Linked DNA regions of Arabidopsis thaliana. The protein of the gene in region 3 binds, or shares a complex with, the protein of the main gene of each other region. Each region holds a gene or a part of one and is shown on either strand. Other genes may lie near its edges.

Region 1 (6,113 bases), on a different chromosome or scaffold from region 3:
CACCAAGATTAGCTTCTCCGATTCCTCCTTTGTTCGAAGATTCTTCAGTCTTCCATGGAGTCGAGCACTGGACAAAGGGTAAGCGATCTAAGAGATCAAGATCCGATTTCCACCACCAAAACCTCACTGAGGAAGAGTATCTAGCTTTTTGCCTCATGCTTCTCGCTCGCGACAACCGTCAGCCTCCTCCTCCTCCGGCGGTGGAGAAGTTGAGCTACAAGTGTAGCGTCTGCGACAAGACGTTCTCTTCTTACCAAGCTCTCGGTGGTCACAAGGCAAGCCACCGTAAGAACTTATCACAGACTCTCTCCGGCGGAGGAGATGATCATTCAACCTCGTCGGCGACAACCACATCCGCCGTGACTACTGGAAGTGGGAAATCACACGTTTGCACCATCTGTAACAAGTCTTTTCCTTCCGGTCAAGCTCTCGGCGGACACAAGCGGTGCCACTACGAAGGAAACAACAACATCAACACTAGTAGCGTGTCCAACTCCGAAGGTGCGGGGTCCACTAGCCACGTTAGCAGTAGCCACCGTGGGTTTGACCTCAACATCCCTCCGATCCCTGAATTCTCGATGGTCAACGGAGACGACGAAGTCATGAGCCCTATGCCGGCGAAGAAGCCTCGGTTTGACTTTCCGGTCAAACTTCAACTTTAAGGAAATTTACTTAGACGATAAGATTTCGTTTGTATACTGTTGAGAGTTGTGTAGGAATTTGTTGACTGTACATACCAAATTGGACTTTGACTGATTCCAATTCTTCTTGTTCTTTCATTTTAAAAATTATTAAACCGATTCTTTACCACATATTTTACAAACGCGTTGAGTCTTTTTTTTATCTGAATAAGCATAAAGTGACACCACTACAACTCTGTTTTTGGTTCTGTTTTTTTCAAAAAATTTATAACACAATTAAGCATAATCAAGAACGTTCTAGTTTCTACTACCATCCACATATTGTTCTTTCTTATATTTTGGAAAGCTCTAAGCAAATAAAAAGAGTTGTGATATCTTACGGAAGACTGCCAAAGAAAACTCAACTTTCATTTTTCTTTTACCAAAAGAATACCGTAACTTTCAATTGAAAAAAGCCTTTCTTGACGGGTCGTTTGTTTTCTTTAGTAGCACTGTTTAATTAACGTAGATAATCCCTTCTTTAATTTGGTGAATTATCTACGGGAAGTCCAAAACTCAATGGTCATAAACGTGTATCAAAATTCATCTAAAAGTTAATTAATTTTTTTTTGCAAAAGTCTGATGCTAATATGAATAACTGTTTAAGAACTCCAACATTATATTCAAGAAAAATAAATTTTGATATACAAGAACAAGCCCAGTTACCGAAAAGAAGAACAGAACGGCGCGCAGTGTTTTATCCAAAAGAAACAACTACCGAAAAGAAGATCAACAGAACGGCGCGCAGTGTTTTATCAAAAAGAAAAAACGACACGGTGTTCTCGCAGAATCTCCCTTTATATAAAAACTTGCGGAATTTGGAATCTTATTGGATACAACAAATCGTTTCCTTGAAAATTCCCTCTTCGTTTTGAGCTATTGACGTTTGGTACCGCGAGATTCCTCCATGGATCTCTCCATTGTCAAGCTCCTCGAAGAAGACGAAGAGGTTAGGTTTCGAATTTCCCACTCTCATTTTCATTTCCGTACTGTCTGCGAAAATCCACGCGCTATCTTGTTCTGTGGACGAAGCTCCTAAATGTCGATTCCCGCTAATCGTGTCGTTAGGTTGACTCTAAGCATTCGGAAGATGACTTGCAAATGTTTCAGGACTCTCTGATTCGAGATATTGAAGGTTCGTTTTGGACCCTAAAATTCATATGCGAAACTGTGGAATGTATCAAAACAGGGAAATGCCTTTAGATTTCTTTAGTGATTTAGGTTCACGAGTCGTATTTTTGTGGTTTGTCATGTATCTTCATGTTTCACTTGATGTTAACTGTTGAATGTTGATGGATGCAATTAGATTGTTAGTTCTTGATGATGCTTTAGTGACGGTTAGTCATAGAAAAATATTAGAGCATACTCATAATTGATTTTGGTGCTTGAACTCATGTGCCCCAAGGAAGTAACTTGAAGTCTATAAACAATACTACTGGTAATGAATCAGAAAAACCGCAACCTCGGTATATGAAACTGCAGAAGATGAGTAGCAAAGAGACTCCTTGGGTGGAAAAGACTGTTGACCCTGTGAATCATAATCTTAGATTAGCACGAGTTACTGATTTGCTTCGTACCGTGGTAGACCACCAACCCGGCAAAAAGACGCATTGTCTTAACCTGCATTATAAACTCAAGGTGTGGCTTTACAGTTTACATCCATGAATGAATTGGCACTCTGATCGAAGTTTCTTAATACATTACGTTTCTTTTCATACTTGATTGCAGAGAAAAGAACTTACAATGGAAGAGTTCATGCGACAACTGAGAGATCTTGTAGGTGATCAGATAATCAGATCGGTAATTAGCCAACTGCCTCAGTTAAAACCGGTATTACCCTTTCCATTTTCTTAGCATTTATAAGTACTTTAATGATTTTCATTTAGCAGCCTCCAAGAGAGTTTCTTGTTTTATATGCTTCCTTCTCTGTATATGAACATGTGCTGAGAAAGAAATCTCACTTCTGAACCTTATTAAAAAGGAAATAACATAAAGAATTCTCACTTTAATAGTATAAGCTGAATACTTCTTGTCTTGGAATTGTGGCTTACTGGTTTCAGAATGAACTGTATGTGTAACCAGGGAAATATGGGGATCAAAGTACCTGGACGCTCAAACCATGACAAAGTGTCTAAATCTGCTGGTATAACTTATTTAGTTGATGCCATTTACTTTTGCAATTATCATAGATCATCTTAACTTTCTGGTAGATCTTATCTTATGATTTCCTTGTAGCATACAAAACTAATCCCAGATACAATCATTAACTGCAGAATTCACTGCTCAAGAATCTGATCCTCGTGAAGTTCATGTTAACCAACTGTCTTCTACAACTTCAGGCACCTTAAACAGTTCAACTACTGTGCAGGGATTAAATAAGCATCCCGAGCAACACATGCAGCTTCCATCAAGTTCTTTTCATATGGATACCAAATCTGGAAGTCTTAATCCATACCCAGGGACAAATGTCACTTCTCCTGGTTCATCATCGAGAGCAAAGCTCCCTGATTTCCAGCATAGGGAAAACAATCAGAATGTGGGAATAGCCAGTGTTGGAGGACCAACCAAGTCTACAATAAACATGACGACAGTACCCAAGTTTGAGAGGCCAACTTTTGTAAATGGTCCAAGTAGGGTTCAGGATGGTCCTATATCCGACTTCCCAAAGAACTCATCCTTTCCTCTATATTCTGCTCCTTGGCAAGGATCAGTCACCAAGGACCATACAGTGGGACCTTCTTCATCAGTGATCCATGTGGAGCATAAATTGATTGATCAAAGTTTTGAACAGGCACATAAACCTCGTTATTTGGTGCAGCAAGGCGTGACTAATGTTCCACTGAAACAGAAGAATGCTATTCCAATTAGTTCAAATGATGACTTGGAGAAGCAGTCTTCTAAAATGGGTTTATTCACATCAACCACTTCTGCCAGCTCTGTTTTTCCTTCAATGACAACACAGCTGGACTCTAGCACGATGGTAACTTATAAATTATACTTTCAAAAGACAGATTTCAATTTGGTTGATCTTCTCTTTAAGCTCATAGGGGGACCATTTCTCTTCAACCGATGTTGCATTTGGTTTCGTTTTGCTTATATTTTGGACCACCCTGGCTTCTATTTCTCCTTGTACTGGCTTCGAACTTTGGTTGTGAAGAGTAAATGGACTATCTATCTTACGTGAAAATTATTTGTGTACACTTCAGGTTAATATGCCTGCCCCATCTGAGACCATTCCCAAGATTGCTAATGTTACGGTGACACCCAAAATGCCTTCTGTTGGTCAGAAGAAACCTCTTGAGGCACTAGGTTCTTCGCTGCCACCATCAAGGTAATGAGCTGGCTGGTTTGTGAAAGATGAACTACTTACAGCGTCCATAAATTACTCTTCCTTTTTTCTTTGCTTTTCTGATAATATCCTTTTTACCTTACTAACAATTTAGAATTGCTAAATTGAAGTCTTATGTATTTTTTAATATACAGAAAGAAGCAAAAAATATGTGGGACTTCTTCAGATGAAAGTATTGAAAAGTTTAATGATGTCACTGCAGTCAGTGGCATCAATCTCAGGGTATGTTTACGAGTTGCTACACTTCTCATTTTGAACCTGGATATAGAGAAACAATAAACCAAATTACTTTCTGCATCTGTTCTAGGAAGAGGAAAAACAATTATTAGATTCTGGTCCTAAAAAGAACGATCGTGTTTCTAAAGCATATCGAAGACTTGTGCATGGAGAGGAAGAAAGAACGCTTTTGCAGAAAATTCCACTGCAGAGAAAGCTGACAGAAATTAGTTTGTGTTTCAACTCGTATCTTAGCTGCTTCTTTGGTCCTTACTTGGAATCACTTGGAGAAGAAGTTTATGTATGCTTTCATATATGACAGTGGGAAAAAGTGGTTTAAAGCATATAGACCATGATGTAGAGCGGTGCTTGTCTCTGGTGAGATGTTAACACCTTTTCTTGGAATTATTAGCCTTCAATTTCCTGTTTTTGTTTTCGTTTTTCTCATGGCTTTGCGCATTCAGTGTGTGGAGGAGAGGATGCGAGGACTACTGTTTAATATAATACGAATATCAAAGCAGGTCAGTCTACTTTCTCTTCTCATGCCTCCTTAGATCTTGTTGTACCTAAATCTTTCTGAAGTTACAAGAGCTTTTGCAGCGGACTGATGCAGAGAAGTGTAGAAATCGGACTTTTATCACATCTGATATCCGGAAAGAAATTAATGAAATGAATCAGAAGGTGAAAGAGGAATGGGAAAAGAAACATTCTGGAGAAGAAAAGGTAATGGTTTGTCCTGAGCTTAATATCTATTTGTCTTAGTTATCAGTAGTAATGTCTAGTTTTTTTTTTTTGTATATTCATTGATGTAGAACAAAGAAAATGATACTGAAAAAGAAGACCAACGTTCAAACGAAGTGAAGGTATTTAGAACTTGAGCCAACTACCTAAACCTTTGGAGATATACACATACGTACACTGAAAGAGGTTTATTGATCACAAGTCAGGCAAATAAGAAGGACGAAGATAAAGAGAGAGCCAAGGCTGCAAATGTTGCTGTTCGTGCAGCCGTTGGAGGAGATGATAGGTTTTCAAAATGGAAACTTATGGCTGAAGCACGTCAGAGATCTTCTCCAGGGCCAGGAAGAAACTCCAAGAAACTTTCTGGTAAGATTGGTAATCCCGTTTCTATGATCTGAAAGAGTAAATCTCTCAGTTCTGTTGCTGGTTATTCTTGTGTTTCGTGCTCCTAATTGCATATTCGAACTTTATGTAGGTGGTACACAATTTGGGAAGAACCAAGGTTTACCAAAAGTAGTCCGGTCAATCTCTGTGAAGGATGTGATCGCTGTGGTGGAAAAGGAGCCTCAGATGTCAAGATCGACGCTATTGTATCGCGTATACAATAGAATCTGCTCGGATGTTTGAAACCAAGAAAAGACATAGGACCAATTCTTTATTTTTTTTTGTAGAAAGGTTCTTATTCCATTAAAACTAATGCCATTACAAACTCCTAAACATGATCAAGATGCTAAAGTACATCCTTATTTCTTCTTCCTTTCACTACCTAAAGCAAGCTGCATGTTTTTTCTAGTTTTTGCCTGATCCCTTCGTGCTGACTCCGCCGTGTCCATATCCTCCTCCACCACCACCGCCTCCGCTGCATGAACCTCCGCATCCTCCACCACCACCGCCAATGATGACTCCACCACCAATACCTCCTCCACCACCAATACCTCCTCCACCTGACCCGTATCCTGGACCACCACCTCCGTTGCCTCCATCCCAACCCAAACCACCACCTGAACCATACCCGGCACCTCCACCAAATCCACCACCGATTACAACACCACCACCGCCGCCACCTGGACCGTATCCACCACCACCATATCCCGGGCCTCCACCGCCGTAGCCACCAGCTGTGAGTT
Region 2 (6,490 bases), on a different chromosome or scaffold from region 3:
CTCCATCTATGCCTTTCTTTGATATTCATTTTAATGCTAATGCTCACATGGAATCTTGCTTCAATTCAGGTTACTGAGATGAGATCAAGCATTTCGCAAATTGGGTTTGATTTTAAGCAACTTAATGAAATGATTTCTGGAATAGTAAGTCTCATCATTGCCCTCTAATATGCATCATTGCCCTCTAATATGCATATTTTAAAGGGGCTAATATATCTTTACTCTCTTATATGAAATTTTTACAGGAAGGGAAGATTGAAAGTCTTGAAAGCAAACAAGTAATTTGTCTACAACCATTAGATACTACAAACCACTTCACGCTATCAATTTTCTTAAAACTAATTGATCTCAAACAGATATTTTTTTTGTTAAAATTTTAGGATGTGACCCTCTCTGGACTATGGCATCTATGTCAAGTTGCAGGCGTTAAAGACAGCACAAGTACTAAAGTATTTCAGGTGAGTGTTAACTTACAAATTAAGTGAAACGTTTTCTTACTTATTTTTCACGTAGTTATAGGCCTTAATGAAAAAAATCTTGTTTCTGGCTTTGTGGTTTAGGATGTTGGTGAGAGATTACCTATTGATGGAAAACCATCCACTAATACTTCTCTCTCTGTAAGAATGCTACTATACCTTTTTCCATCATATAAATGTGCATTTCCATTCTGTTGACGCAAAAAAGTTGCTTATAGTGAAAAAATTCAACGAGATGGTTGATCTTGAATTTGCATATATTCAAGGCAATCTCTCATCAAGCTTATTCGAATAAAAATTGGAACCTGAAAATACTTGTGGTAGTAGCTGTTATTTGATGATTTCATGTCATGATGTTTCTTTGGCTTTCTAAAACTATAAAACTATGGAAACTCCAGGGTCTGCGGTTTCTGACGGAAGGCAAAGAGGATGCAAATGTAATACACAAGCCGGTTATGGCGAAAGAAATTATGGTGATGGGGGAAAAAACAAAAGTCACTGCAGCGGGAAGAAGCAGAGTTCATAGAGCGTTTCCAGGTGGAATATCTTGGGTACGGGATGTTTCAGGACTATCCTAATATTATTTTGGTTGATATACAAAGAAATTGCTTGTATTCGTCCCAAATTCTGATACTGGGACTGGCAATTATTTTTTCATGTAAAAAGAAGAAAAATCTACATATGTTATTGCATCCACCAACAATTTGGTTTGCCCCTAATTATATTTGGTCTTGATGTTTGTAAAGAAAGAGTGTGATTAAGGCTTTCACGTATGTTGATGTCTTCATTGATTTGGACTTTTGTGCTCCTTTTTCCTTTTGTGTTTGGATCAATTTTGTTTGTGTAGAAAATAGAAAGAACTACCACAGAAGACAGAACTACTGTCTTGAAACATTTGTTTCGTCCTTTCTCGTAGGATTAATTGTCTTTAGTTGGCAGAGAAATAAAATATTTCGCTCTTATTGGGCCTTGGCCCAAAATAGATATAGAGACAGCCCAAATTTAATTTAACCCGAAATAGTCCAACCGGGTGAATTTGACAGCAATTAAAAAACCCGGCCCGGCTTCTTATATTAACAAGAGGCTTGGCATCGGTTAATCGGAGCTTCTTTCCTCTCAAGTGAAGTGTCTGGATCTTCGTCGCTCAACGCAAATCCCTCTCCGGTTCATGTAAATTTCCAACTTATTTTTGTGCTCGAATTTTGGTTAACGGGACAAATTTCACACTTTTACGGAGTATGGAAGCAGCCTTTGTCTTCTGGGCTGTTGAATTGCGATTCATTGTGTATGCCCAACAATGGTTTAATTGGGAGGTTCCAATGATTTTTTGTGCTTTTTTCTTACTTAATATAACCACTGTTGATGTTTCTTCTGTGTCCTTGTATCGCCACAGTGGATAAGCAGCCTGGGGAAGATGAGCATTGTACCTAAGGAAACGGTTGAGGTAATAGCTCAAAGTATTGGGATTACCAACTTGTTACCTGAAGCTGCTCTTATGCTTGCTCCTGATGTTGAGTATCGTGTCCGAGAGATCATGCAGGTTACCTTCTTTTTCTAATCATGTCTTTGTGTTCTTGAGGTGAGTTTTCTGGTATCAGCATATTGATCTTTCTGTACCTTCTCTTTGGATGTCCTTTCAGGAAGCTATCAAATGCATGCGTCACTCAAAGAGAACGACTTTAACAGCTTCGGATGTAGATGGTGCTCTCAACTTAAGGAACGTTGAGGTACAAACTCGATGACCTATTTCTTACTTCCCATTATCTAGAGTTTTGGTTGTGTAAGCTTCCTGGTTTTTGTAGTTGAGTGACAAAGATATATGGTTTCTAGTTTTGAGGTTTGGCTTTACTGGTGCATATGAATAACACCATCTGTTACACATTGCTTTCACATATTTCACTATTGTAGTCAACTGAATCAAAGGCATCTTTTTGAGAGTGATTATATCTATTGCAGCCGATATATGGATTTGCCTCAGGAGGGCCATTTCGTTTTAGAAAAGCTATTGGACATCGCGATTTGTTCTACACTGATGACAGAGAAGTGGATTTCAAAGATGTAAGATGTTGGAAAAGCTGGCATGTTTTTTTTGTTTCAGTTAAATTCTTCATTTTGGGTTCCTTATGTTTTCAAGAAATGTCATGATTCTAGGTGATCGAAGCCCCGCTGCCAAAAGCTCCCCTTGATACTGAAATTGTTTGTCACTGGCTGGCTATTGAAGGAGTGCAACCAGCTATACCAGAAAATGCTCCTTTAGAAGGTTTGTCTCTCAATCTTATGCCCTGGGCTAGAGTTGTAAAGTCATTATATGAATTTTTCAACATGAAACAAATATTAGTATGTACAATGACGTTTCAGAGGTGTATAAACCTCTTTCTACAGTTACCCCGTGTTAAGTGGTGAGCTTACTGATGTTACTGAAAGATCAAAATACATATTTTCAGATCCATCTGTATTATTGTTTTGCGGATCCGCATGAGCAAGAAATCCTTGTTCTTTCCTATCTTGACTATATTTTTCACTTGTTTGTGTTGTCTCTAGTCATTAGAGCACCTGCAGAAACCAAAATCCATGAACAAAAAGACGGACCTCTTATTGACGTTAGGCTACCAGTGAAGCATGTACTATCTAGGGAACTTCAGGTATATGGTGCAGTCTAAATATCATAGGGTAATATCCTTACATACATAGGACTTATCTGTTGTTCTCTCTTCACAGTTATACTTCCAAAAGATTGCTGAACTTGCAATGAGCAAGTCAAATCCTCCTCTGTATAAAGAAGCATTAGTGAGCTTGGCCTCAGACTCAGGACTTCATCCTCTAGTTCCATATTTTACAAATTTCATTGCTGATGAGGTAACATTATGCACCACCGAGGAACTAGTGTGAACCAATAAGACCCACGTTAAGTTTTTGCAGTTTTAATTTTCTCCACTTGTGCAGGTTTCAAATGGCTTAAATGACTTCCGACTCCTGTTTAATCTAATGCACATTGTTAGAAGTCTTCTACAGAATCCTCACATACACATAGAACCTTATGTAAGTTTTCTCTGGATTATCTTTTGCCACTATCTAAAAAATTGTAGAATCATGTAGCTCCATTTTCTTTAGGCTTCTGATTTGGGTTTCTTCAAGTTCTATATTAGACATATTCTATATAATGGGTATCAAATGGTTAGTGGTAGTGTTTGTCCGAGGTCTGCAAGCTCGAGTGCTTAAGTACTCTCAGTCTGCTTGAAATAACAACAAGTTTTGCCTTTGATCTGTATTGAGATTATGTAAACCAGCCTTGGGATAATGAGTTGGTTGTTTGAGCAATGTTTCATAACCATGAAGCTGAGTGAACTTTTTCTTTTGGTGCCAGCTGCACCAGTTGATGCCATCTGTTGTAACATGCCTTGTATCAAGAAAGCTTGGAAATAGATTTGCTGACAACCACTGGGAACTCAGAGATTTTGCGGCAAATCTGGTTTCACTGATATGTAAAAGGTTCATTATTTCCCTTTCATGTCATGAACTCTGTGTTTGTTTTGGTTGATTGTGGGGATCTATACATGATTTCTTACTGGAGCTAATAATGAAATTCTATAAGGAAATATCATGAGATGATTATCCATAGATGTTCTGCTAAGTTTATCTTGTTTGATCTCTTTACTATTGATATCTACTTCTTTTTTGCTCGAGCTGAAAAACAAATGGTTAGATCTATATTAACAACAATTAGTAATAACTTGCTATAGTCTTCTTCATTATTTAAAAGGGTACATTGTCTCGCACTTTTATTTTACATATCTCACCTTTATATTCTTTTAGCATCTGAAATCCTGTGATTTTAATAAAATCTTGCAGGTATGGAACCGTTTATATAACTCTTCAGTCTCGTCTTACCAGAACTTTAGTCAATGCACTGCTGGACCCAAAGAAGGCTTTGACTCAGCACTATGGTGCGATTCAAGGATTAGCAGCTTTGGGGCACACTGTTGTAAGTCATTCCTTGACCTTTCAGAAAGTTTGTGCATGCTATTTCAGATATCACCGAGAAATAATGTTACCCAGCTTGTCCTTCAATCTAGGGACTTTTCAGAATCTGAGATACAATTTGATTTGCCCATACCATTTTTCCGGGTTTGCTTATTCATTTTATTGGGAAATTAGGACTTTTATCGTCTTAAACGGCTACTCCAGTGAATCAGATACCCCTGCTACCAAAAACTTTAGCACAGCTATCCTGCATTGTTATCTGTTGTCATCTGAATGTCATATATTGTGTAGGTACGCCTTCTTATTCTATCAAATCTCGAACCATATCTAAGTCTTCTCGAACCTGAATTGAATGCTGAGAAGCAAAAAAATCAGATGAAGATCTACGAAGCTTGGCGTGTATATGGAGCCTTGCTGGTTAGTAAACACATCCTTGTAAAATTTCATCTTTGTAGAATTCTCAGTGGACAATCCTTAGATGGACTTGCCCCCTTTTTCTTTTCAGCGTGCTGCAGGCTTGTGTATACATGGCCGGCTTAAAATCTTCCCACCTTTACCATCTCCGTCACCAAGTTTTCTCCATAAGGGAAAGGGAAAGGGAAAGATAATCAGTACTGATCCCCACAAGCGGAAGCTGAGTGTAGATTCTTCAGAAAACCAATCACCGCAGAAAAGATTGATAACCATGGATGGGCCAGATGGTGTACATTCACAAGATCAATCTGGCTCAGCTCCAATGCAAGTAGATAATCCAGTGGAAAATGACAATCCGCCACAAAACTCTGTTCAGCCATCCTCATCAGAACAAGCCTCTGATGCTAACGAATCTGAAAGCAGAAATGGAAAGGTGAAAGAAAGCGGCAGGAGTCGGGCTATTACCATGAAAGCAATCCTTGATCAGATATGGAAAGATGATCTTGATTCCGGACGGCTATTGGTGAAACTGCACGAACTCTATGGTGATAGGATTCTTCCCTTTATCCCTTCTACAGAGATGTCAGTATTCCTCTAACCAATAAGAGGTGAGCTATTCTATTCCCCAACTTCCTGATATTTACCTCATCGATATAAAACTCATGGTTCCAGTCGTGAATGCAATAAATATGTGAAATCAAAAGAATAATGATACTCAATACATTAATGCTAATGAAATAGATGTTTGATGATTTTCAAGCAGAGAAGGAGGCTTGGAGAGATTAAAGCGCCGTCTGGTTGGCATACATAAACTCATTTAGATCCGTGCCATTGTTCTCAGGTCAACTCTTTAGTTCTTCTTTTTAAGCTTGAGGGATTTCAAAGTCCTTAGGAGCCTGCAGAGTGGGTTGAGTTGAATTGAACCGGTTGCAATGTATATATTAAGAGAATTTTAATGATTCCGTAGTGGACTTATTTGTTTACTCTCAAATGTAATCCATGAAATAATTTCTCTTCAAATCTGTATGATCTAGATTGCAATTTTTGATATTGTTGTTTACATGTATGCTCTCTTGCTTATTTACTCTTTACATATAATATCCGTTCATAGATTATATCTATTGTTGATCCTTCTGGTCCGTTGCTAGAAAACTTTTGGGCAAACTACAAGGTTTGGTCTGTATTACATTGACTATAAAGAAGATCTGAAAGACAACAAGATTAATTTATGAGGATCTATAGGAGGATAAGACTGAACAAAAGTTTCGGAGACATTCTTAAGTTAACTATCTTGTATGTAAACAATCAAGTTTGCTACAAACCACAGAACAGCCTAGTAATCTGGTTTACTACAAAAGAAATACCTGTTGATCAAAGCCCAGACCGAAAACTTATGACCATCAGTGCTGTGGCTTATTGCATTCCAGTAAAAGCTTTGGCTATTACCAAGTATAGCTAATGTGCTCGAACAAGAGAGCTTCAGGCATGAACATAATCCTCAAAAATGTTTCACAGAGAGTAATTCCTTTTTGCCAGAACAAGACTATGACCATCATTCGACGATTTCCCCTTCTTCTAAATCTAGTCCATCAGCGATGAAATCAGTATCTAAATTTTGG
Region 3 (7,605 bases):
TATACTTTCCAAATAATATTGTATGATATAGTTCTGAGTCTGTCCAAGATTATTTTTATGCACACACTAGTATAAAAATATGGTAAAAATGGACTAGATATGCATCATGTTAACTTTATTTGTTTTCGAAAAAGTAATGAGAAAACTGACCGGGAGAGATCTCATATAAGAAGATAACGAGTACCACATTCCCACATATAATTCCAAATGTAGACAATTGTCTAGTCACACAACCAAATCTACTTTTGGTAGATTTTATGTCTCATCCAAAATTTTGATGCAAATGTCTTTCAAAACATGTTTTTTTCTTTCTTTTCTTCTTCAGCTCTCAATTTTATTTTATTTTTGTCGTCAGCTCTCTATTTATTTAAGTACCGTCTCTAGAAATTAGGAGAATTAAATGTTTTCACAAAATAAAAAATATGTTAGTATCTGAAAAGTTTCTAAAAAATATGTTCTCTAAGAAAAAACATAATTCACAACATACCACATAACCACCCACCCTGTCTTAAGAAAGATTTCTCTCGACACACGATGTCTTTTTGGGGAGATTCATTACATGTTTCTATTTTATTAACGTTATAAATTTTGAGAATATTTGGTTGTTGTTCTTTGCCTTATTCATTTCGAGTAGGTTTTGATTCATGATAGAGGTGACATGCTTAAACTAGGGTGTTTATTAGAAGGAAGAATGTGGCTTTGACATGCTTAAAGTAAATCTGCTCCAAGTCGAAGATAAGTGATTCCTGGATTGGGACACATGGCATACATAAGCAGGAGTAGTTGTTCATTAAAAGAATCTTCAACATTTTTGGGATTTAGAAATGAGAAACAAAAGCCACAAGCAAATAATCTTTGGAGATAACTATTCTACACCTGATTTCTTCTGAGATCTACAACAGCTTGTAAGAATGTTAAAGCATCAATATCTGATACCATTGTTTTGATCAGTTTGCGGGTTTAGAGATCGCTCCTGCAGCAAACAACAAATTTCTCCGAGAAAACTGCATCAATGTAAAACATGAGTTTTAGTGTATGCCTCGATCAACGAATCCTAGGTGTTAGAGGAAAGGTTCTATATGATACTGATGGATAAAATCTGTTTGGCACACACCCTGAAACTTTGGTTCTAATCAAGTGTTTGGTCACTCATTATCGGGATGTGTTGATCACAAGCACAACATGATAAACTTAGGGATGAGAGAAATACCACGGTGTTTAGAGAATGGTGGAATTAATTCTAGTAAAGAAAGCATAACTTACCCGGAGAGCGTGAACTGGTGTGGACTTGGTGGGGAAAGTCCTGAGTGAGCGCAATCTGTTCGAGTTTCCATTCCTGATCAATCACAAATGATAAATCGTTTTTAACAAAACAATCTACCATTCAAAGGGAACAACAATACAACTTGAAAGAGCAAACTCACTTTTCCTCGGCCTTTGTCAATTTGGTACTTGAAGTGACGTCCCACAGTTTCACTGTGCAGTCTGCGGATCCAGAAGCCAGAAGAGAGCCCTCCCCGCTGAAACAGGAAAACAGGTTAGTCATAAATTGTAGTAGTTCTATGATTTATCAAAGTGGAGTTTACGGTTCCAATATTCCAAGCAAGTGGATTTTACCAACCAAAACCAGTCATTCCATTAACGACCCAACACATTAGGCCTATACAACATTCCACAACCCATGACAAGAACCCTATGTTAGAGCTAACACAAGAGTGCGTGGATATAGAAAAATCTACCAGTTCAGTAGTAAGTCACTGTAGAATTAATAGAAATAGCCACACCATACCACTCTATATCATAACCCTGAACTACCCTTTAAAAAATGTTGTCCTAGAAGAAATTCCAGAGATGATAAAGCATATCAACCAAAACCAATAGTTGGCTGAAAAAAGGATCATATTACGTTTTCATTGTGTATTACTAACTCAATAAAAGTTGAATGATCAAATAAAGCTATTTTCTTCTTCTCTTGACACCTCACCTGTATGAGAGACTCCAGACACATGAATTATGGCCCATGAGAGGAGTGATGCAGCGAGCAGTTGAGAGGTCCCACATCATTATAGTGCCATCTTCATCACCGGAAGCCATATATCTCCCATCTGGAGACATCGCCAATGATAAAACCATACTCCTGTGCCCAATGAATATCCGGACACATTCTCCAGTTTGCACATCCCAGAGTCTAACCGTCTTATCACTACTACCGGTAGCAATGTAGTTACAATTGGGATGCCACTGTACACACTGAAATCAAATGCATTTGACAAGTACAACGAAAGTCGCATCAATAGGTATCCAAAGAAAAATTGAAGTTACTGATCTGACTTAATGTCAATCCAAATAGTTAAGTAATCCATCGTAACCTTATGACTTTAAGCGTATTGGCTAACAATCTTTGGATCAACTATAAACTGGACGATTCTTAAATTATGAATGTCAGGGTCACGTTAAAATAACAAGTGGGTACTAATCTAAGTCAATAAACAATGTAAAATGTTAGATAAACCATTGTAAACATTGATACGGTGAATTAATGACTTCAATTGCATAATAAAACGTTTTAAGAAATTTATCCATGCATTTAATTAACAACTCAATTGGTCCCTTCGATTTAACCTTTGCAAATTAAACCCAAACAATGAAGATGAGGGAGACACTCACATCAACATCAGATAGATGCCCTGCCATTATCCGAAGAGGTTGTATTCGGTCCATTGACCAAATCCGTGCAGTACGATCATGAGAACAGCTTGCAAAGTAATGACCGAAAGGGCTAAACTGCACCATAAAATGAGTATATAATATATATACATGTCCAGCCACCATAAATTGCAGGTTATGTAAGAAACATGGGTTAAATTGAATTAACTATACCTGGGCATCCCATACAGGGTAATTATGACCCTTGTAGCACACGAGATTAGCATTTAGTTTTGTGCTCCACAGTCGTACTGCACTTATGAATACAGGGTTGGTAACTAAAAAAGTCTGAACTAATGAGCCAGTGTATGGATTTGTAAAGTGATGGACAGATACATACTTGTTGTATCTGCTGAAGAAGATAGAACAAAATCTCCAGGGGGACTGAAAGTGGCTGAGTAAACTGGCCCTGAATGACCCAGTAATAATGTATAACTTCTTCTGCCATTTGGTCCTATGCTTTGATCACTTGAATCATTTTCAGCCTGCAAAGCACCTGGAACCAGACAGCTTAGTGTCTATAACTCTCATGGAAACAAAAACAATCATTATGAGAAATCAACAAAAATGACAAGCGAAACGTATGAGATAAATATCATTCTTAAACGTGGATGTCAATACAATTTTTCAGAGAATTAACATACCACTGCCAGCTTGTCCTATCTTAGCCATGTCCCAGACCTGAACACCATAATTGTCACTTGGCATCATTTAAGAGAGGAAGAAAACAAAAAAAGGGAAATGTATCCAACCATCCGAGAATAACATACCTTTATTGAAGAATCTGAGAACCCACCAGCAACCAGAGATCCATCATGAGATATAGATGAACAGTTTAACCTGGGGGAGAATAAAAGAGTGAGTAACAAGGTTGCAAATAAGTAGTTAAAATTAGGAGGAGAGGTGGACATTACCCGTTATGAGTATTCACAAATGTATAAAAGCTGACTGATGGCATTGCAACACTACTCAACTGCACACGGTTTCTAAGGTCTTCAAGGATGGATTGCTCTACATCTGTGGACCTGACAGAGAAAACAAGGAGATGGAGCAAAATTGATTTATGTTAAAGGAGGTTGAGTCTTTGACAAATACAAAGACTATGTTCATTTCTCCTAAACAATCATGCATCACCCATAGATATCACATGTTCATTCCTTTTTAATCAAATCCCAACACAAAAAATGGGTAAGGGATTCGAAAGTACATTACTGGCAAGGCAAGTTCTGGTTTTACACGCGGCGCCGGTGACACCGTAATGGTCTCCAGACGTGCAACTTTTGCTGTTGCATTACCCGCTTTGTCCTTCTTCAACTTTTTTAAGGAAGAGCCTTGCTTTCCAATTTCAGTGGATCTTTTCTGTACACAGAATCAATTGACGAGTAAAAACGGGATTTCAGTTCAGAAATTATTGACTAAGTTGAAGCTATGTATCACCTTACTATCATCTGCATCCCCGTCTTTACTTTCTCCTTGTCCCTTCTCAGAATCAGACAGCAGACCTCCTGTCTTCTCAAGGCGATCTTCTAGTGAATCTTCAAGCAACTGTAAAAGAAAAATGCATATGTAGCTATTAACTACGCAAATATGTTATCATCCCTGGGATGAGGCATCAACATGTTATAACTCTGGAAAAATAGAAGAGAAAAGAAACTTTAGGGGAAATACGTACTCCCCACTGTATTTCTTTTTGATTAATGTGATTAGCAGTGTCCTGAAAACTCCCGACAATGGTGACAGCTTCTATGTCATCGGATGAGGAAGTAGGCTGTCCCGAGTAGACTGCAACAAATTATCCATGACCAATTGATTCAATTTTCTACTCAAAAAACTGCTACAAGCTATCGCATATATAAGAGAAAGAAACACATTTACCTTGGAAATTGATGTGCTCGTTAATAATACCAAGCATTAAAGTCGATACTGTACTATGTAGATACTGAAGTAACAGCTCATATGAATACTGCAACATTCAGTAAGCATATTAGAGGTCTGCAGTCACGGAATTCAGTTAATCAGACCAGAAACCTCGAAGCAGTTGCCTATTACAGCTACTAGTCAATTTTCACTCAAGTCTACCTGACAAAACTTGATGTTAACCTTGCTTTTTCTAAGAGAACGAGCAAACTCCATCTCCTGATAAGAACCAAGATCATAAGAAAGATAATAACCAAAAAAAAAAAAAAAAAAATCCATTATCAATATTATATGACCATATAAGGTTTATCATAAACCTCTAGATGAGATGGAGAAAGCACGCCTTCAAGCTTCTGAAGATCCCGTAAGTGTACCATCTCATGATCTTTGCGGAAGCTGTTAAAGAAGGCTCTAGCTGGAATACAAGAGACGTATTATTTCCCACAGTAGCATAAGTCACTGTTTCCAAAAATCTTATACCGAAGGTAAAAAAAATACTCAGTACATCTAATTTGCTATATTGACAAGTACCTTCTTGAGTGTGCCCTTTCCCCACCAGATCCATGTAACAATGAATAAACACAGGATACATCACTCGAAGCAATTCATGCTACAAAATTAGAATCATCTCGTCAGTTCAATTAAGCCTGTCTCTACCCAAAACAGCCAAGGGATACACAAAAAAAAATCCCCACCTTATATAAATCCAGAGAATTATACGCCCATGACCTTAGTTTGCTGTAACCTTCACGGTACCGAGTTGGATCATCTTCTTGTCTGCAAACAAAAGAACAGACATTTCATTACCATTAGCTCTCTCTACATAAGCCATACAAAAAAACCTAATTTCTTGCCACTGAGATGTCATCAAAATCTTAAATTTGACAGATAAACTGATAGAAATATTCACATAAACTTCACCCAGAAAGTGAATTATATTCATTTTTAGATTCTCAAAAACGTTGGAGCTTACATAATTTTTCCTTACGGTTTTCAAAATTCACAAAAGACACTAAAACTTTCCCAAAAATTCAAAACACAATTCGCATTAAGAATTGAAACGAGAGAGAGAGATAGGGAGAGAGATTACTGAGAAAAGGAGCGAATGAGCTTCGTGAGCTCAGGATCGTTATGATAATCGACAGAAGTGAAGGAGCTACCATTATTGTTCTGGTGATGATAAGATTCAAGGTCTTTAGCAGCGCTACTGAATCCTTTCTTCTTCAAGTAGCCCACGACGAACTCGTTGATTTGCTCTGGATCCATTGTTGTCTCTCTCTCTCTCTCTCGATTCAATTTCCTCTCCTAGAAACTTGTATCTCGTCGCTGAAACATCTTCAGTTTTTTAGATTCCGTGTCTCTACAAAACTGGGCCTGTTTCAATGGCCTAATTGTGGCCCAAATATAATAATTTCAAAGTTATGATTAAAACCAGGCCCGTCTATGGGGGTGGCAGGTTGGGCAAATGCCCAGATTCAAAATTTACTAAGAGTTTTTGAATTATAAGCCCATGACCTTACTTTGATGTAAAATCTCATAACCATTTTCTTTTTAAATTACTTGCTTTGGATTCTCTATTTCAACTTAAAGATTGGGACAAGATACCAATATTTATTGTTTGAGTAATTAATTCTTACAGAATTATTGAAAATTATCCAAAAAAATGTTATCTTCTCAAAATTTCTAACTTTTATTTAAAAAAAAAAATAACTTTCCAAAACACCCAGTTTAAAAATATTTAAACAATAATTCTTAAATCAAATGTTACAATGGTTAAACTAAACACTTGCAACAATTTATTGTATATAAGACAAGGTCAGTTATTTCCTCCCACAATGGTTAACTCGTTTTCTAAAAATATATTATAAAATTTTGGATATCAAATAATCAAGAAAAATTCTTTCAAATGCCCTTTTCATGATGCCCCTTTTCAACTCTACCCTTTTGTTTTATCCATTTTTATTTATATTCTCTTTAAATTTTTAATTACCATTTTACCCTTATTTGGAAATTGTTTTAGGTTAACAAAATGAAATATTAATATTTTTTCGCCTAAAATATTCTAAAATAAATTTCCCGCCAAAATTTTCCCGCCAAACCTTTTCGAAAAAAATTCCCACCAAAAATTTTTGAAAAACATTTCCCGCCAAATTTTGTTTTCAAAAATATTTTTCCCGTCAATTTTTTTTTTTGGCGGGAAATAGATTTACAAGGAATTTTAAAAGAGTTTTAAAAGATTTACAAGGCAATTTAAAGGGGTTTTATAAGATTTACAAGGGATTTTAAAAGGGTAATTTACAAGGGATTTTAAAAGGTTTTTAAAAGATTTACAAGGGATTTTTAAAAGGGTTTTAAAAGATTTACAAGAGATTTTAAAGGGATTTAAAAGATTTACAAAGGTCTTTTAAAGATTTTTAAAGGGTTTAAAATTGTTTTAAAAGGATTTTAAAATATTTACAAGGGATTTTAAAAGGGTTTTACAATATTTACAAGGGATTTTAAAGGGTTTTAAAATATTTACATAGGATTTGTAAAGATTTTTAAAGGGTTTAAAAGTGTTTTGAAAGATTTACAAGGGATTTTAAAACCTTTTAAAATTACTTGTAAATCTTTTAAAACTCTTTTAAAATCTCTTGTAAATCTTTTAAAACTCTTTTAAAATCTCTTGTAAATTTTTTAAAACTTTTTAAAAATCTCTTGTAAATCTTTTAAAATCCTTTTAAAATCCCTTGTAAATCTATTTGGCGCTAAAAAATATTTACAAGGATTTTTAAAATATTTTTTTTGGCTGAGGAAAAATTTTTTACGAAAAAAAAATTTGGCGGGAAATTTTTTTGTTGGCGGGAATTTTTTTTTTTGGTTGGAAAAAAGTTTGGCGGAAACTTTTTTTTGGCGGGAAAAAAAATATTTTGGCGCCAAAAAATTGGCGGGAAAATTTCAGTTTCCAATTACATGTTTTTATTAGATGAGGGTAATTTGGTC

What was found. Proteins that work in one complex are often made in the same cells at the same time.
Region 1: TAF5 (region 3) and TAF4B share a complex: the UniProt entries of both Arabidopsis thaliana proteins name them as parts of the TFIID complex.
Region 2: TAF5 (region 3) and TAFII59 share a complex: the UniProt entries of both Arabidopsis thaliana proteins name them as parts of the TFIID complex.

The regions. Positions count from the first base shown.
Region 1 is NC_003070.9:9,642,851-9,648,963, reverse strand, and holds TAF4B (TBP-associated factor 4B), read left to right. Parts: upstream 1-1,587; coding exon 1,588-1,629; intron 1,630-1,639; exon of another isoform or gene 1,640-1,748; coding exon 1,749-1,815; exon of another isoform or gene 1,816-2,085; coding exon 2,086-2,318; intron 2,319-2,408; coding exon 2,409-2,510; intron 2,511-2,762; coding exon 2,763-2,823; intron 2,824-2,953; coding exon 2,954-3,660; intron 3,661-3,886; coding exon 3,887-4,011; intron 4,012-4,163; coding exon 4,164-4,251; intron 4,252-4,336; coding exon 4,337-4,475; intron 4,476-4,567; coding exon 4,568-4,623; intron 4,624-4,709; coding exon 4,710-4,766; intron 4,767-4,845; coding exon 4,846-4,968; intron 4,969-5,057; coding exon 5,058-5,108; coding exon of another isoform or gene 5,109-5,123; exon of another isoform or gene 5,124-5,192; coding exon 5,193-5,352; intron 5,353-5,461; coding exon 5,462-5,613; downstream 5,614-6,113. Other genes in the region: STZ (salt tolerance zinc finger), read left to right, coding at 1-662; AT1G27710 (Glycine-rich protein family), read right to left, coding at 5,776-6,113. UniProt on the Arabidopsis thaliana protein: TAFs are components of the transcription factor IID (TFIID) complex that is essential for mediating regulation of RNA polymerase transcription.
Region 2 is NC_003070.9:1,402,585-1,409,074, reverse strand, and holds TAFII59 (TATA BOX ASSOCIATED FACTOR II 59), read left to right. Parts: upstream 1-1,543; 5' UTR 1,544-1,646; exon of another isoform or gene 1,647-1,869; 5' UTR 1,870-1,890; coding exon 1,891-2,016; intron 2,017-2,116; coding exon 2,117-2,203; intron 2,204-2,432; coding exon 2,433-2,534; intron 2,535-2,627; coding exon 2,628-2,736; intron 2,737-3,017; coding exon 3,018-3,118; intron 3,119-3,194; coding exon 3,195-3,332; intron 3,333-3,419; coding exon 3,420-3,515; intron 3,516-3,840; coding exon 3,841-3,965; intron 3,966-4,325; coding exon 4,326-4,458; intron 4,459-4,748; coding exon 4,749-4,874; intron 4,875-4,962; coding exon 4,963-5,469; 3' UTR 5,470-5,479; intron 5,480-5,634; 3' UTR 5,635-5,990; downstream 5,991-6,490. Other genes in the region: AT1G04960 (golgin family A protein (DUF1664)), read left to right, coding at 70-144, 246-278, 381-458, 561-617, 875-1,054; AT1G04945 (HIT-type Zinc finger family protein), read right to left, coding at 6,424-6,490. UniProt on the Arabidopsis thaliana protein: TAFs are components of the transcription factor IID (TFIID) complex that is essential for mediating regulation of RNA polymerase transcription. Required for proper pollen function. May stabilize the interaction of TFIID with selected promoters.
Region 3 is NC_003076.8:8,675,401-8,683,005, reverse strand, and holds TAF5 (TBP-associated factor 5), read right to left. Parts: upstream 5,958-7,605; 5' UTR 5,890-5,957; coding exon 5,714-5,889; intron 5,401-5,713; coding exon 5,319-5,400; intron 5,234-5,318; coding exon 5,155-5,233; intron 5,039-5,154; coding exon 4,941-5,038; intron 4,843-4,940; coding exon 4,786-4,842; intron 4,670-4,785; coding exon 4,582-4,669; intron 4,489-4,581; coding exon 4,379-4,488; intron 4,252-4,378; coding exon 4,144-4,251; intron 4,066-4,143; coding exon 3,914-4,065; intron 3,732-3,913; coding exon 3,621-3,731; intron 3,547-3,620; coding exon 3,477-3,546; intron 3,388-3,476; coding exon 3,351-3,387; intron 3,203-3,350; coding exon 3,047-3,202; intron 2,958-3,046; coding exon 2,881-2,957; intron 2,785-2,880; coding exon 2,668-2,784; intron 2,251-2,667; coding exon 1,985-2,250; intron 1,521-1,984; coding exon 1,425-1,520; intron 1,337-1,424; coding exon 1,264-1,336; coding exon of another isoform or gene 1,219-1,263; exon of another isoform or gene 1,005-1,218; coding exon 948-1,004; and 2 more. UniProt on the Arabidopsis thaliana protein: TAFs are components of the transcription factor IID (TFIID) complex that is essential for mediating regulation of RNA polymerase transcription.